Callithrix jacchus: one gene and its partners. The protein of the gene in region 1 binds, or shares a complex with, the protein of each later gene. Links are inferred from orthologs where the notes say so. Each region holds a gene or a part of one and is shown on either strand. Other genes may lie near its edges.

Region 1 (5,585 bases):
GAGAGAGTAAGACACCCCCCCCGCCGCTTTCAAAAAAATACAAAGAAACAACGAACAAATAAAAAGAAAAAATTTAGGTAAACACAAAGAAAAATTAACTAATCATTCATTATTGCCACCAACATTAGTAGAAATTAATTAAATGCCTACTATATAGATGTTCTAGGGCAGAGGAGAAGCACCAGACATTTAAAAGTATCTCTGAAGCGATGGAATTATCATTCATTCAAACATCCCTTCCACCATTCATTTACCATTCATTTCAAACATCCCTTCTGGTGATATTTACAGTCAGTGTTTACTGAGCATCTACACACCAGGGCGCTGGGAATGCAGCAGTGAACAAAGACAGAAACCCATGTTGTCATGGGCTGACATTCCAGCAGAGGAGACAACCAACTAGCAGTAACTACAATTAGCAACGATCAGTAAGTTAAATGCAGACAGAGTTGGGTAATATGGGAGAGAGATGTTTGCTGCTTTCCTACGGGTGAGCAAGGGAATTATTTCACTAAGAAAGTGACATCCGTGTAAAGCCCCAGAAAAGGGAGGAAGAGACAGGTGCGGTGGCTCACGCCTATAACCCCAGCACTTTGGGAGGCCGAGGTGGTTGGATCATCTGAGGTCAGGAGTTCAAGACCAGCCTGGCCAACATGGCAAAACCCGCCTCTACTAAAAATACAAAAGTCAGCCGGGCAGTGCATGCCTATAATCCCAGCTACTCAGGAGGTTTACAGGAACCCGCAAGGTAAAGGTTGCAGTGAGCCGAGATGGTGCCACTGCACTCCAGCCTGGGAAACAAAGTGAGACTCTGTCTCAAAAAAAAAAAAAAAAAACAACCTATTTAAAAAAAAGAGAGGGGGGGAGGAAGGGAACTATAAGGATACCTAGGGGAAGAGTAAGTTCTAGACAGAGGAACAGCCAATGCAAAGACCGTGAGGTGGGAGCACACCTGAGAGTGTTCAGGAACAGCAGGAAGGCTGGCGTCCAAAAAATAAGATCGTGGAGAAAAAAGCTGTCTGGTCCGGCACGGTGGCTCACGCCTGCAATCCCAGCACTTTGGGAGGCTGAGGCAGGAGGATAGCTTGAGCCCAGGAGTTGGAGCAGCCTGGCCAACATGGTGAAACCTTCTCTTTAAAAATAAAAGAAAAATGCCAGACGCGGTGGCCTGCACCTATAATCCCAGCACTCTAAGAGGCCGAGGCGGGTGGATCAACTGTGGTTGGTAGTTCAAGACCAGCCTGGCCCATGTGGCGAAATCCTCATCTCTACTAAAAATACAAAAAAATTAGCCGGGCATGGTGGTGGATGCCTGTAATTACAGCTACTCGGAAGGCTGAGGCAGGAGAATCTCTTGAACCCCGGGAGGCGGAGGTTGCAGTGAGCCGAGATCGTGACATTGCACTCCAGCCTGGGCAACAAGAGCGAAACAACGTCTCAAAAATAATAATAATAAATAAAAATAAAATAAAATAATTCTAAAAATGGGACGTCAGGTGTTTGTTTCCAATATTTTGACTAGTTATTTTTTTAAAAACTTATTTAAAAATTAAAGATCAAACAGTATTAGGTTCCCAGGCTCAGATAGACCAGCGTTAAAAACTCATTACCTTCTTACTATGATGTCAAGCCAGCTATTTCACCCTCTGAACCTGTTTCTTTATCTGTAAAACAGGTATTAATTATATTATACCACAGGGTTGTGTATGCAGCGAGAAAAATGCAAATAAAGCATTTATCCAGGTGCCTGGCTCCGAGTAAGTGCTTAAGAACTATTTCTGGCCATAATTAACCCATTACTCTCTCCCAGCCCCTAACTCCTTTTAGGGGGAAGTTGAGAAATCGGTATCACACGAAAACAGTCATTTCCCCTTTAAGGACCTCAGTGGGCTGGGAGCCAGCCTTCCCGCACCTTTTCCAAAATTTCCAATCCCCGCTTGGCATTTTCTGCCCGAATGTCATCGATTGGACGCTCTGCACCAATCGGAGGCTGGAGCGGGCTTGGAGAAGCGCCGGTTCCGCCCCCACTCTGGTCCTGCCCACTGCCCGGTCAGCTTCGTTGCTATGGGGACTGGTGGGCGGTGAAGGAGGAGGGGGGGAAAGCCCCGGATATTCGTTGGGGATTCAACATGGCGGCAGCAGTAACCGCGATGGCGGCGGCGCAAGAGAGCTGAAGGAGGCGCGAGGGCGTGGAGTTCCAGGCGAAGCATCTAGGCCGCGAGCGACTGCGGTGCCGAGCCGGTAGGATAACGCGTCCAGCCAGGGGCTTGTAGTGGGCCTGGGGCTGGCGGCGGGACAGCATTTCCGCGAGGAGGGGGCGGGGCCGCCGGGGTCAAAGTTCACTGGTGGAGGGCAGGGTCGATTCCGAGGGGTCGGGGGTTAACGCTGACTGGAGGGAGGGGTAGTGGAGCCCGGAGGTCAGACTAGCGAAGGGGGCGTGGCGAAGGGGAGTGCAAAGTTTGAAATTCGAATTGGGTGCGCGTTCGAGGGGATCTGGGCAAATCTCAATAAAGGTAGGGTCAAAGTTTATAATTTGAGGGGAGGCTGCGCCTACGAGGGTCAGAGGTCACAGCCACGGGGGCGCCAGGTTGGAGGTTTAAAACTGCCCCCAGAGGAGCAGATGAATGAGTTTTAGGTTCGGGGGCATCTTTTAGGGCATCAAAGTTGGGGCGTGCCTAGAAGGTGCAAAGGTCAGAATCTGACAGTACGGCAGGTGTTTTCCAGACTCAGAAATTAAAACCCAAGGAGGAGCCTATTGCAGGGGACCGGGGGCCGGGTGGGGAATCCAGGGGCGTGGTTAGAGATGCTTCCTGGTGGCTGGAGAAGGGGGAACCCTCCCGCAAATAATAATAATAGGAAACACTAATGAAGCACTTACTATGGGCTAGACCCTCTTTTTAACACTTTGCTTGTATTGGCTTATTCAGCCCTCACTACAGCCTTAGAGGGTCTTAACCTGGTGTTAAGAGGTAACGTGATTTGCCCAAGGTCACCCGATGCATAAGTTGTGCGCTGGAATTCCAACTCCGGAGTTCTGGCCCAGAGCCCTCCTCTGGCCGACGCCTCTGAAGTCATCAGAACGTCGGTTAACGTTTAATGAGGGCTCACACCGTGCTCCACACCCTGTGTGCGCGGCGGTCTTATTTCACTCCTGCTGCACTCTTGTGAAGTGAGTGCTCAGGACCAACCTACTTTACAGACGGGAAAAGTGAGGCTCAGAAGCTTCTGCTGAAGGCAGAGTGAGAATCGAAGCTGGGCCTGAGTGATTCCAGGGCTCCTGCCCCTGGTTGCCACCTTGTCCGCAGCCAGCCATTCGGTCTCTCCTGGAAGCAGGGGGCTGGGCAGGGCCGGGCTACTCCCTGGAAAGGATCAGATTGTCTTGGTTTACTTGGAAGGGTGTGATCTGGCAGGGAAGATTCCTGTGTGCCTCTGGGAGTGGGGTGTTTGTGGGTGGCCTGGAGTCCGAGTGAGGGAGTCAGATGAGTTTCTGACTGGGGAGGGTGTCCCTGGGTGGTACCCCAGGCAGAGTTGGGTGTTCACTGTTCTTAAAACCCTAAGCTCTCACTGTGGTCCTGTCCCTCCCACCTCACTTCTGTGGCTCTGCCCGTTTCTCCCTGGCCTGTTTGCTGTTCTCTAACTCCGGGCCTGCACCTTCCGCCTGTTCTCTGACCTTCCTGTTCTTCTGCTGGGAATCCTTTACCCACCCTGTCCCCTGTCACTGACAGGTCGCTCACTCTCAGCTGGCCTGGTACCACCCTGGCTCACACTGGCTGCAGGCTCTCATTCTGTCGTGTGCCCAGCCCTTCCCTCCCTCCTTACCTTGTTTATTAGGGTGCCTGCGGAATTGCTCGGTGGGCTTCCTTGCCTCGGTCCTGGTCCCGCTGAAGCCCTGCCTGGCCTGCAGAGGATATGACGTTGCTGGGGGTTGACTGTTGGGCACTGCACCAGGTGCTGGGAGTGGGGCAGGGGACAAGACCCGGAGAGCCCCCAGCCTCAGCGGGCACTCATTCCCCTTGGGAGCAGAGTGGAATCAGCCCCTCAGCCAGCAGGGAGCTGGGAGGGTGCCCCTACCCTGGGCTGAAGCCCAAGTCCCTTTCCCCTAGGAAGGCTCTGAAGGATGAAGAGGAGGGCTGGGCATGGGCTCAGAGGAGCAGTGTGCAGAGGCCCTGCAGAGTTGGGGATCCAGGGCAACAGAGTCTGTGCAGGTTCCTGGTGAGACCCTGAGGGGGCTCTCATCCTGGGAGGGACAGTGGGAGCAGCGGAGGGCTGAGGAGTACCGGTGTGTGGAGCTTCGTGAGGCTGTGATGGAGTGTGATTCGGAGAGCAGTGCTGGGCCAGCGATGCCTGGTACATACCCTGCTCCATCACTCACAGGGTGCGTGAGGACCTCTGTTTCCTCTTCTGCAAAATGGGCATAGCGTTAGCATTGCCTCATAGAATTGCTGTGAGGATGCCAGGTAGAGAGCTGTGGCCCAAGGCCCCGCATCCAGTAGTTGCTGTGTAAGCATTAGTCTTGCTGCTGCCTGGGGAGAGACAGTGGAGACCCTTGCTTCTCCTGCCTCTGGCTTTCTCTGGCCGCCACCCCATCCCCACCTGGCTCTGGCAGGGTCGGGGAGCCGGCACACTGCCAGGCAGCCCTCTGAAGCTGGCCCAGACTCCCAGCCTTGCGGTGCCAGCTCACTCAGCATCTCGGCGTTTGGCACAGATAAGGAAGGATAGGGTTTGGGCATTGGAGACCCATATTCAGGTCCCTCCCTTGTCACTTACCAACCTTGGACAAATGATTTCTTATTTGCCACTTTTATTCCTTCGACACACTGGGCTAGGGGAAAAAGTAGAGCTTTCAGTATAATGAAACACTGATGCATCCAGCCAGCCTCTGGCCTGGGACAGAGCGCACCATGATACGGTTAGAGGCCAAGGGTCTCCTCCTCACACCCCTTCCTCCCTCCCTTCCAGGGGCAGCCACTGTCCTGGGTTTGGCAGTCGCCATTCCTCTGCAGCCTTTCATGCTTTTACTGCCTTTGGATGTATTCACCAACAATAGCTCTTGCCCCTGGCTGCACAGTGGAACCCCCCCAGAGAGCTTTGAAAAGACGCTTTGGCCCAGGCCCACCATGGAAATTTTCTTTCCAACTTACTTGGTCTGGGCTGAGGCTGGCCTCAGTCTTTTGGAAGCTCCCTGCCTGGGCAGTTCCTTCGGCCAGCAGAGGCTGACCACCGTTTCACAGTTCAGATAAATGGTGTCACCATAAATATGTCATTCTACAACTTGCTCTGTTTGCTCAACATTTTAGGTGTATTTGAGATGGGGTCTTGCTGGGTTGCCTGGACTGAACTCTTAACTCCTGGACCCAAGATCCTCCCACTTCAGCCTCTTGAGGAGCTGGGATTACAGGCGCACACCCCTGCACCAGGCTTTGAGCTGAGCCTTGGAGTCTGGCTCTCCCTCCGTGGGGATATGTGGCGGTCTGGGCCAGGCCATTCATTTTTTTCTGCTGCTATTTCTTTTTGTGATGGTGTCACATGGGAGTTGGCTCTTCACCTGTTGATGGCCGCTGAGGTGCTCTCCTGTTGGGGCTGTA
Region 2 (5,701 bases), on another chromosome or scaffold:
CTGTCCTTCCTCCACAAGGACTTCCTGTAGGCAAATTGTGAGGGAGGTATGTAGCTTCTTAACTTTGTAGCTATCTTATTTAGGAACAGAATGGGAGGCAGGTTTGCCTGACATGGTTCCCAGATTGACTTTTCTCCTGGCTTAGTGATTTTGGGGCCCCAAGATTTATTTTCCTTTCACAAATACTATAAAGGAGCTTGCTATGGACTGCTGCATCTTTGCACCCAGGCACACTATACTGTACTTCAAGAAGTTTACTTCCTCAGGAATTGAGGCACCACCTTGTTAGAGTTTGGGAGGAGGTGACAAATAAAGGTTAACATCCAAACTCCTTAAGCTGGGCAGGTAGGACAGTTTTCCACTGGGCCCTCCAAGCCATTCTCCCACCTGGTCCCTGACCTACAAAGGTGAGACCCCTTTGTTCTTTAGCCCTTACTGCTTCCGTTTTAGCCAAGCCATGCTGCACTTTTGAACAAGGCATCCCAGCTGTCACTTCCTCCAGCAGTTAACCCCTCTGTCCCTCCGTTTCCTCAACTGGATAACGGTAGGGTTTATCGGGAGGATGAAATGAGTTAATAAGGGTAAAGCACTTAGAACAGTGCCTGACTGGCAGTGAGCTCTCTGTACGTGGTAGGTATTCTATTGTAACTTCCCCTACCTTCTCCCTCTTGACTACAAACCACTTGCTGTAGCCAAGCCAAACCCAAGGGATCTTTTGCGGCACCAACTCAAGAAGACCCCACCCCACTCCTCATTGGCCAATTCAGATCCAGCTCATACGTAAATGATAAATTGAAAGCCTGAGGACATGCTTTTGAGTCTGTTTGATCATGGAAACTGACAGGTTATCAGTAAGGAAAACGAAGTATAGCGGCATATTGGCCAGTCTCAAATCCCTGAAAGGTGCAAACGTTAAAAAGTGAAAAGGGGCCGGGCGAGGTGGCTCACGCCTATCATCTCAGCACTTTAGGAGGCAGACACAGGAAGACTGCTTGGGCCCAGGAGTTCGAGATTAGCCTGGGCAACACAGCAAGACCCCCATCTCTAAAAACATGTAAAAATTGTCCGGGTGTGGTGGTGCTCGCCTGTAGTCCCAGAGACTCAGGAGGCTAAGGCAGAGGTTCCCTTGAGTCCAGGAAGTCCAGGCTGCAGTGAGCCGAGATTGGGCCATTGCACCCCAGCCGGAGTGAGAGCGAGATGCAGTTAAAAAAAAAAAAAAAAAAAAAAAAAAAAGGTGAAACCTAGGTTTTACCTGTGCCTCCACGCCCCACTGTGCCCTCCCTTGCCCATCCAGAAGTCGCCTTGAGGTTCCACGCACGGGCGGCTACGTCCCACCTTGGGCGAAGGCCGCCGGCCGTGCGGCTTTGGGAGGAGGAGTGGCCCCGGCCCGACCCCAGTACCTGCTCTCCCTCTCGCAGTCTAGCAACTGTCTTTGGCCCAAGTAATATCCGCTCCCTTCCCGTGGCGACTGGGGGCTAAGCAACCCGAGCGGGCTCTACTCAGTGTTTTCGAGCCCCCCACGCCTCCAGTGAGCCGCAAGCGACTTCCACCTGGGCCAGTCCGGCCTCCGCGTCCCGGGCCGGTCCCCGCACAGGGCGGAGCTGGCCCGGCCCGGAGCTCGCCCCGCCCCGCCTCGCCGTAAGCTGACCGTGTGGCGGCCGGGCGGGGGCCTGGCAGGGGAGAGAAGGGGAGGAGAAAGGAGAGGAGGAAAGTGGAGCCTGGCGGGCCGGAGGGAGGAAAGGAAGGGGCGGAGGCGAAGGGCAGAGTGTGCCGGCGCGCGGGGGAGCCTCGGCGCGGGGCGCGTCTAGGAGCCCAAGTCGCGGCCGCGGAGCGGAGCCAGCCCCTCCCCTGCCTAGAGCCGACCGCCAGGGCCGTCCCGAGCCGCGACACCCCAGGCGTCCCGGCCCGCCAGCCAGGGCAGCCGAGGCCCCGGGACTCGGCCGTGAGCGCTGCGGGAGGGATGGTGGCGGCGGGGCGCGGGCCAGAGCGGGCGCCGTGAGCCGGAGCTGCGCGCGGGGCATGCGGCTGCGGCCCCCAGCCCTCGGCCCCCGCGCTCCGGCCCCCGCCCGCCCGCACGCCCCCGCGGAGTGCAGCGCCCTCGCCGCCGCTGAGGCAGGCGCCCCACCATGCCGCGGGCCCCAGCGCCGCTGTACGCCTGCCTCCTGGGGCTCTGCGCGCTCCTGCCCCGGCTCGCAGGTAAGCCGCGTCGCCCGCGGTGCCTAAAGAAACTTTGTCGCGCACACAGCCGCGGGCGGGCGTCTCGGAGGGGCGGGGAGCGCCCCCGGGGCAGTCCCTGGTGGGCCAGTCGCTTGGGGACAGCCCCGCTGGGCTCTCCCGAACTGCGTGCGCCAACCCCGGCGCGCAGTCCCGCCGGGCTGTCGGGAGTCGCCTGTCCCCTCCCGGGCTGAGGAGGAGCTTCCCTTCCTGTGTAAACAGCCCGGCCCGTCTGCTGACCTAGCCCGTCCGCGCCCGCGCCCAGGGCACGGGGAGGACCGCCACCAGCCCTGACTTAGGGCCCGGGCTCTCCGTTCACGGGCACAAAGCGACCCTTGTGGCCGGCCGGGGACAGGCAAGGGGGGGTGCTGCTGGTGCCCGGTTCTCGGGGAAGCAAGAGAGACTCGAAGCCCCAGCCAAAGCCCGGGGCCACCTCCGCTCCGGAGGGCTCGTCTCCTGAAACGCGGGGGCACAGGGCCCCGAGCGAATCCTGGAATTCGCTGCGCCTAGACCAGCCGCCTTCGTTTGAAGATGCAGCCCTCTCCCCGCCTGCTTCCTCCTCACCCTCACCCAGAAAACCGCAAACCCGAGGGGGAACCTGCGTCCCAAACCGCGGCCCCACCTGGGACTGTATCATATTCCTTCTGCCCGACTTTCTCCCGAGATTTGCACACACTCCGAGCCTCACACTCCCCTAACTGTGGTGGATTCTGGAGCCGAGGACAGGGGCTGTGGAAATTGCCTTAGCCCGACGCTGTCGTGGGTTGGCATCTGCGAGGATCCCTCGGTTACCTGCTCTTAGTTTTCGGCGTTGAGAGAGGACCAGACGTGGCAGTTCGGAGGCCCTCGAGGAAGGATGCACTTGTTTGGGATGCGGACTTTCTCCTTTCCTTTGGGAAATAAGAGTGCTCTATTCACTTTCCAGCCGGAGATACTCGATTGCTCTTGTGAGCCAAGTGGTTGCCTGGATGCCAGAGGGGAGGACTGTTCCCCCAGGCTGTCTCATTTACATGAAGGCTGTGGAGGTTTAGGTTTAAGAGTGGAAGAGGGGTCTGAGTAAACAAAAAATTTGTTCAGACCCTACTTAAAACGTAATACTGTAGCAAGGTTTTGTTTTTAGTTTTAAATGGGAAAATAACTCCAGAGCTTGGAGTAGATGTGTGGATTCCAAACACCCATCCGGCAGCCAGTGCCCATCATGGATATTTTCATGGGTCCCTAGGGAAAGCAAAGAGAAGGGAGAAGTATCCCGCAACACACGGGAATGTATTGTTGTCAACACTTCCCTGCTCCACAAGGACTTTCCTTTAGTTTGAAAGTAGGCACTTTTTCTTTTTTGGGGGGAAATGTTCCTTTAATACTTTTTAGTGATAATAGATTTTAATTTTGGCAAAATAAGAAAATCTGGCAATCCTATGTTAACCTCCCCTTCTCTTTTTCTGTTTCTTTTTTGTTTTTAAATCCTAGTTTTCTTTGAAAATCAGAAGTTTAGAAACTGCCAAAGGAGATGGCTTCTAAGTTCCTCTCCAGCTTGACATTCTGTAATTCTGATAAACAGAATTATAATAATTTCCAGTTGCAATTTTTTTTTTTTAAGTCAGAGTTTCACTCTTGTAGCCCAGTCTGTAGTGCATTGGTGCCATCTCGGCTCACTGCAACCTCCACCTCTCAGGTTCAAGCGATTCTCCGGCCTTAGTCTCTGGAGTAGCAGGGATTACAGGCACCACCAGCATGTCTGACTAATTTTTGTATTTTTAGTGAAGTCAGGGTTTTACCAGGTTGGCCGGGCAGGTGTTGAACTCTTGACCTCAGGTGATTTGCCTGCCTTGGCCCCCCAAAGTGCTGGGATTAAAGGCATAAGCCACCGTGCCAGGCCGCAAATAATTTTAAAAAAATACATTATTTTCCACTTGCATCGTGCTTTCTGTTTTTCAAAGTTCACATCTTCACAGTGATGTCCATTTTCTCACCTGGGCTCAGGAAGGAAGTGACTTGCCGTTCCCCTGTACTTGGATCAGGAGTGGTGAACCAGGGACAGGGTTGGTCCAGTGCCCTTTGTCCTATCTGACTCAGCGTAGGGAGGAGAAAAACACTGAGCATAGTGGTTCATTTGCAACTCTTTCGGGTTCCCTTTTCCCATGGCTCATCTCTCTCTTTTTTTTTTGAGACGGAGTTTTGCTCCTGTTGCCCAAGCTGGAGTGCAATGGCACCATATCAGCTCACTGCAACCTCTGCCTCCCAGGTTCAAGTGATTCTCTTACCTCAGCCTCCTGAGTAGTTGGGATTACAGGCATGCGCCACCACACCTGGTTAATTTTGTATTTTTAGAAGAGACGACGTTTATCCATGTTGGTCAGGCTGGTCTCAAACTCAGGTGATCCGCCTGCCTCGGCCTCCGAAAGTGCTGGGATTACAGGTGTGAGCCACCACACCCAGCCTCCGCCCATTTCTTTGACCACCGGTTTTGATGGTGGTAGTGGAGCAAGCCATGTCACTGGCCTCCAGAACTTGCTGCTTACCTCTTAAGGCCGTGAAGCTTCTCAGGGTTAGCAGAGGCTGACTCACATCTGTGTGATGTCTCCTAGTTTCTCCGTGTTGCTGAATTAACTTCAACATTCTGGTATTTTTTTTCTTCCCTCACCTTCTTCTTGAAGCACTACGGGTACTTTATTCAGGGTGTGTTTCTGTCTTGCTACGAGAAACATGATTTGAAAGAAAAAAACTTACTCCGAGAAAAGAAAGATGACCCTCAAGGCCATGCCTGCCTGGGTGTCCCTGGACCAGTGGCTGAGTGGCTCTCTCTGTTACTCTAACCTCACTTTCATCTCAGTCAGATTTCCAACGGGAAACTGACCTTAGGTTTCAGGGACTTATTTCAAACAAGTCCCTGGCCGGCTGACAACCCCTTCCCGACCCTACCAAGGGTTATCTCCTGCTCTCTCTATTAACTTATGGCCAAGAGACTGCAGACCGAACCCTAGGACCTGGTCATCCCACAAAACCAGGGCTCTCACTGAGGTGAGGCTTTTCCACACTGCCTTTGCCAAGACAGAGAGGAGCACCGTCTTGATTCTGCAACACCACTGGAATTATGTGTGCTATCACATTCATTTCTTTTTAAAAAGCAATCAGGTGTTCTTCTAGTGAACGCCCTGCACATCCTAAAAAGCTCTTTGTTTTATTTAGTGGACTCTTGTTGTCAGCACCCTTCCCCTCCCCCTCACCCCCTACCACATTTCCTGTGATCTGTGATGGGGTTGTTGGAATCTGGCTGTGTCTGCAGCTCTTCGTAGCTAACCAGGCACTGGTTTAGAGCTGACAGGACAATGAAATGCAAACAGCGCATCATTGGTCTGTAGACTGCTGTTTATCCTATGGATTTACATTTTAACTCCATCATCCTTGAGTTGGGGGAGCTTTTTATAAAGGGGATGGAGGCAGAAGAGGGCAGGGTTTAATTAGCTCTAATTAGTATTCCCCGCCTGCT
Region 3 (5,001 bases), on another chromosome or scaffold:
CGCTCTCATATTTCTCCTGGCTGTTCCTGCTCAGCCTCTTTGATAGTGCTGCTTCATATCTCCCCTACTTCCACCTCGTGGAATGTTCCAGGACACGATCTTGGTTGCTGTTCCCCTCTGTCTGCATTCATCTCCCACCCCACCTCATCCGGGCCTATGGCCTTACATACCATCCATTCTCTCCTATGCCTCCCAGATCCAAGGCTCCAGTGCTGATCTGTCTCCTGAAGTCTAGAGTCATACACCTAGCAGCTGACCCTGCAACTACACTTGAATGTCTAACAGGCATCTCAAGGGTTACATGTCAATAAATGATCACTGAATTTTCCTCTCCAAACCCACTCTTCTCCAGTCTTTCCCAGATCAGTTTATGGCAATTTCATCCAACCAGCTGTTAATGCCAGAAATGTAGGAGTCATGCTTGACACCTCTCTTTTCCTGCCCACATCCATGCATCAGCAAGACTTGACTTTGGCTCCAAAACATACCCCAAAGTGACCCCCTTCAGTGCACTTGCCCCGTCCAGGTCTAGGTCTTCCCCTTCCTTGCCTGGATTAGGGCAGGGGCCTCCACTCTTATTGCAGAATCCTTTTCTGAAAGCAGCTGGAATTATCTAAACAAGGGCTAGCCCAGGCGATTCCTGTTCAAAGGCCCCCATTGCTTCTCATCACACCAAGCCTGGTTTTGCTGACCTTTTCCTTCCTGCCACCACCAACAATCACAGACACCTGGACCTTCTTTATGTACAGTTCCTGTCCCTCGGGGTCTTCTCCCTGGCTGCTCCTTCTGTCTAGAATGCCCCTCTTCTTGAGTGCATCCTGATGTCACCTCCTGAGACTGTCCTTCCCCAAGATAGCCCACAGCCCTCATTCCCTGGTATTTTCCTGTTGCTGGTATGTCCAGTCTGTCTGCAACTACACTACACTTAAGCCTAGCCTGTGATGATAGAGCAGCCTCAGGAGACAGGCTCACCCCTGTACCGACCCTCAGCTTGCACCTGGTACCGGCAGAGGGAATGTCATGGTCGCGTGTCGCCGCTGGACTCGCGGCTAGCCGAGCACTCCCCACTAGAGGGCAGTCCCGTCTAGTGGTTGGACGCCCTCCAACTTGGTTGGGACGCGACTGAGGCCCCGCGGATGCGCTGCCACAAAATCCCGCGCTCTCTGAATCCTCAGTCGGGCCGAACCCCACTTCCATCCCGTCCACGGAGCGCCGAGGGCAGCCTCAGGAACAGGTCCCGTGGGTCAGAACCCTAGTGGGCCACAACCTCTCTGGGTCCGACCATCCTTGGCGCTCTGCCTACAGGCGGGCGCAGCACGGCGCCCCGTGGGAGGGACCGCTATTCCACCATAGAACAAATGGGGAGGGTGAGGCCCCCACAATGAGGCGACCTGCTCTGCGTCACGCAGCAAACGCAGGGTCTGCTCAACTGTCTGGGGGATCGAGGGTCCCCGGCCCGACCCAGTCCGACTTCCAGCTACGACCCCTCCCTTCCCCCCAAGAGCCGCGGCGGAGTCGGGAGGGATGCAGAGCTTTAGCCCCGCCCCGTTTGGCTGCGGGGCCGGGGCGGGGCGCTGATGCCAGATGTCCGGGCGGCTGCTGCAGGAGCTACGGAGAGCGAGGAGCCGCGCAGCCAGGCGGAGGCTGAGGGCGCCGCTGGCCGGCCCGCCCAGCCCGCTCAGCGCCGCTCCGCCGGGGTTCCCAGAGCAGCTGGCAGGCTCGGTGGGGACCTCGGCACGGACATGCACAGCGCTCGGCTTGACAGCTTCCTCAGCCAGCTCCGCTGGGAACTGGTGAGGCTTGGGAGCGGGTGCGGTTCGTGAGGACGCGTGCGGGGTGCCAGGCTACCGCCCGGCCCGAACACCAAACGGGTGCTGGGTGGATGGTGTGCCCCACCAGTCCGAGGCAGGGTGGGGGCGGCGCGGCGCCTATGGCCCAGATGGCCCGTGTTGGGTTTCGGACAGTTGGGAACTGCGCTGGGCATCAGGTAACAGAACCCAGCTGGCCGTGCTGCTGGAACTGCGCGGGAGGAGAGAGTAGAAAGGGGACTTCTTTGGGGACGGGGCATGGGGCGGCAAGGGACTCACGAGGTGCTGGCGCTGCTGTGAACGCCCCCTACTTCAGGCTGGTTTGTGCCTCCCTTCTCTACCCCTCAGCTAGCAAGCGATCTTTCTCTGAAAGACGCTTCGGGGAACTGAATCCCTCAATAGGCATGGGATGCCCCTCCAGTCCTGGGCAAGACCTACTTCCCCGTTCAGGCCCGCAACCCTGCCTGCCCGCCTGCCCGCCGGCCCTGGTGGCGGGTGACGACTTGCCCGGCCCTACGTGCTGCAGCCTGCCGGACTGCCACCAGGTCGGAGGATGAGAACCACACCAGCTTCAAGTGCCAACACCCCCATGCCTGCCCTGTGCTCACTAGCACCCGGCTGAACCCTCTCTTTTCTGGGCTGGCCTGGCAGGCAGGCAGGAAGGGGTGACAAGTGATACCTCTCCGACTTCTACCCTCTCTTCCCCTCAGCTGTGTGGCCGGGACACAGGCTCACCCCCAATGCCTGGCTCCCTGCAGCCAACCCCCCAAACTGGCCCAGATGTGCAGCCCAGCCACCAGCTTAGGGCCTCAGGTGCCTTGGAAGAGGACTCAGTCTGCTGTGTGGAGGAGGAGGAAGAGGAGGAAGCAGTGGTGACAGAAGACAGGGGCGCAGCCTTGGGAGGCCCCAGGGAGCATGCCCTGGACTGGGACTCTGGCTTCTCCGAGGTGTCGGGCAGCACATGGCGAGAGGAAGAACTGCCTGTACCCCAACGCCCAGCACCCTCAGCACAGCCCCTTTGTAGGCAGCGCCTCTCAGTCAGTGGCCTCCCCATGGCTGGCAGAGCCCCAGTAGCCAGTGCACCACCTAGCCGCCGTCCACGGCCCAAGTCCACCCCAGACGCCTGCCTGGAGCACTGGCAGGAACTGGAAGCAGAGGACTGGACAGCAGCCCTACTGAACAGGGGTCGTAGTCGCCAGCCCCTGGTACTGGGGGACAATTGCTTTGCTGACTTGGTGCACAACTGGATGGAGCTGCCTGAGACAGGGAGTGAAGTGGGTGACAGAGGTGGGCCCCGTGCCCGTGCTCGACCCCCTCAGTTCCTGCTTGGCCTCTCTGAGCAGCTTCGTCGCCGGCTGGCCAGGGCTCGGCGGACAGCTATGGCAGGAAAGCGGCTGTCATGCCCACCTCGCCCAGAAACTGAACTGCCTACAGACGTTTCACGCTTTGCAGCCCTCATGAGCTGCCGAAGCCGCCAGCCCATCATCTGCAATGATGTCAGCTACCTCTGACCCTGCCTTCCAGCCTGGGACAATAAAAGCCTTTTTTCTAGACTGTCCTGGTTCCATACCCCTGAAGCGCTAAGAGGCCATACCCCTGAGGCGCTAAGAGGCAGCCCCAGCCCTGTGAGGCACAGCCCAGGCATACGAATCTACTGAAGAGCTTTTTGTTTCCGTGTGAGGGTCCCTGTGTTGCCCATGTCACACCCGTGTGCATTACTGCATTGTGTTCTATCATCCATCCTCTCCACTATGCCTTCCTTCAACAGCATTTATTGAGTGCCTACTGTGGGCTTACAATGGAGGGCTTGGGATATAGGGCTCCATTGAGCTAGGTGACGTGGTGGCTGCCTTGTCACAGCTCATAGTGCAGAGGTGGGAAGGCAGTGTCCTCCTCCTCATCCTCACAGCTCAGCTGCAGCACCAACACTCGCAGCCCAGGAGCAGGTACCTGACCTGTCACCCGCTGAACCAGTTCTGTCACCCTGGTGGGGGTGGGGTTTAGGGAAGATTGGGTAGGTGAGCAATGGCAAGCAGAGGGCAGACTGGCATGGACTAGGGAGGGTGCTAGCGGGCCGTCAGGAGCCCAGGCCAGGAGCAGGAGCCGCTCAAGACAGGAAACATCTGAAACTATTTTAGGAGCAGCTGGTGAGGCAAGTGGGAGGCAGGAAGCTGTGGGTCCCTTGGGAGTGGGCTGTGAAAGGGGCTGTACAGCATGTGGGGAGCCTGTGGGGCTGGCCAAATAGGCAGCTCCTGAAGGCTCCTCCTCAGGCTCTCAGCCCTCACCCCACCCCCAGCCCATTTGCTGGCTCCATTTGGTGAAAGAATGCTTGGGAGGTGTGAGGGGCCCAGAATGGGGCTGGGAAGCTGAAAGGCTGTGTGGCCCCTAGCCCCAGCCTCCAGGGACTGGTGGGGCCTGTCTAAAGCCCTGAGTGGGCTCACCTGAGGGGCAGGCACTGGGCCTGCTTTTCAGGTGACCATCTGGCTGAATAGAGCAGGGCTGGGTGGTGCAGCAGCATCCTCACCCTCAAACCGTGCTGCTCCTAGAGGGAGAAAGGTCAGAAACCAACTGGGCCAGGCTGGGCTGAGCCTAGGGGGTGGGGTAGGGACAGGGCACACCTGAAGATGAGCCAACAGCGACTCCAGGGTCCTCTCAGGTTGCCCAGCCGGTATCTTCAGACGGTCCCAACAGGTCCACTTCAGGTGATGGAACTGGGGTGAGGTAGGGGAGTAGTGAGAGACTTCTTACCTCCCCCCACCCCCATCCCAGTTACCAGTAGCCTTTCCTAGGGGAAGAGCTGGACTGGCAGGAAGCAGGAGCCAGGGGGTGGGGGGAGAGGTGGGATCTGGGCCCAGAGTCTCAGCCCCCTCCCTGCCCAGGCTGGGGCCAGCACAGGAAATGGGGCTATGGGGCCCACACAGGGAAACAGACAATCCATCACATGGGCCGGTCGTGAGGGTGGGGGCTGAGGGGTGGTGCTTCCTGAGGAAACCCAGAGCAGGGCCTCTGCAGCCTCCGATAAAGCTGCTTGTTCCTCAAAGACAAGGCTGGGAGCTGGGGGCACATCCTGTCCCCCCATCTTGTACTGCCAGGGCCTTGGGCTACTCATCGGACACAGGAGCAAAGGGCATAGTGTCCACCAGGACTCCACTGTCCCAGAGACCCCAGCAGGGATACAGTGCATAAAGGCTTC

What was found.
Region 2: the proteins of PAK4 (region 1) and ITGB5 are in contact, whole or in part, in a crystal structure (PDB 7S46), measured with the Homo sapiens proteins. The link is inferred for Callithrix jacchus from reciprocal best matches to the Homo sapiens genes PAK4 and ITGB5. Residues at the interface, in NP_001014831.1 of Homo sapiens: Gly330, Ser331, Gln358, Arg359, Leu362, Thr404, Lys442, Ser443, Asp444, Asp458, Phe461, Leu475, Val476, Gly477, Thr478, Pro479, Tyr480, Trp481, Met482, Glu507, Glu512, Phe516, Asn517, Glu518, Pro519, Pro520, Met524; in NP_002204.2 of Homo sapiens: Ser762, Arg763, Ala764, Arg765, Tyr766, Glu767, Met768, Ala769, Ser770.
Region 3: the proteins of PAK4 (region 1) and INKA1 are in contact, whole or in part, in a crystal structure (PDB 4XBU), measured with the Homo sapiens proteins. The link is inferred for Callithrix jacchus from reciprocal best matches to the Homo sapiens genes PAK4 and INKA1. Residues at the interface, in NP_001014831.1 of Homo sapiens: Ser331, Gln358, Arg359, Glu361, Leu362, Thr404, Asp440, Lys442, Ser443, Asp444, Phe461, Leu475, Val476, Gly477, Thr478, Pro479, Tyr480, Trp481, Met482, Arg489, Glu507, Glu512, Phe516, Asn517, Glu518, Pro519, Pro520, Met524; in NP_976248.2 of Homo sapiens: Gly178, Arg179, Ser180, Arg181, Gln182, Pro183, Leu184, Val185, Leu186, Gly187, Asp188, Asn189, Cys190.

What each region holds. Positions count from the first base shown.
Region 1 is NC_133523.1:34,651,685-34,657,269, forward strand, and holds the start of PAK4 (serine/threonine-protein kinase PAK 4), read left to right. Parts: upstream 1-2,111; 5' UTR 2,112-2,241; intron 2,242-2,377; exon of another isoform or gene 2,378-2,513; intron 2,514-5,585. UniProt on the Homo sapiens protein: Serine/threonine-protein kinase that plays a role in a variety of different signaling pathways including cytoskeleton regulation, cell adhesion turnover, cell migration, growth, proliferation or cell survival.
Region 2 is NC_133516.1:78,130,234-78,135,934, forward strand, and holds the start of ITGB5 (integrin beta-5), read left to right. Parts: upstream 1-1,762; 5' UTR 1,763-2,126; coding exon 2,127-2,196; intron 2,197-2,477; exon of another isoform or gene 2,478-3,532; intron 3,533-5,701.
Region 3 is NC_133516.1:32,415,785-32,420,785, forward strand, and holds INKA1 (PAK4-inhibitor INKA1), read left to right. Parts: upstream 1-1,612; 5' UTR 1,613-1,742; coding exon of another isoform or gene 1,743-1,793; 5' UTR 1,794-1,882; coding exon 1,883-1,987; intron 1,988-2,518; coding exon 2,519-3,319; 3' UTR 3,320-3,362; downstream 3,363-5,001. Other genes in the region: UBA7 (ubiquitin-like modifier-activating enzyme 7), read right to left, coding at 3,663-3,792, 4,250-4,350, 4,427-4,519. UniProt on the Homo sapiens protein: Inhibitor of the serine/threonine-protein kinase PAK4. Acts by binding PAK4 in a substrate-like manner, inhibiting the protein kinase activity.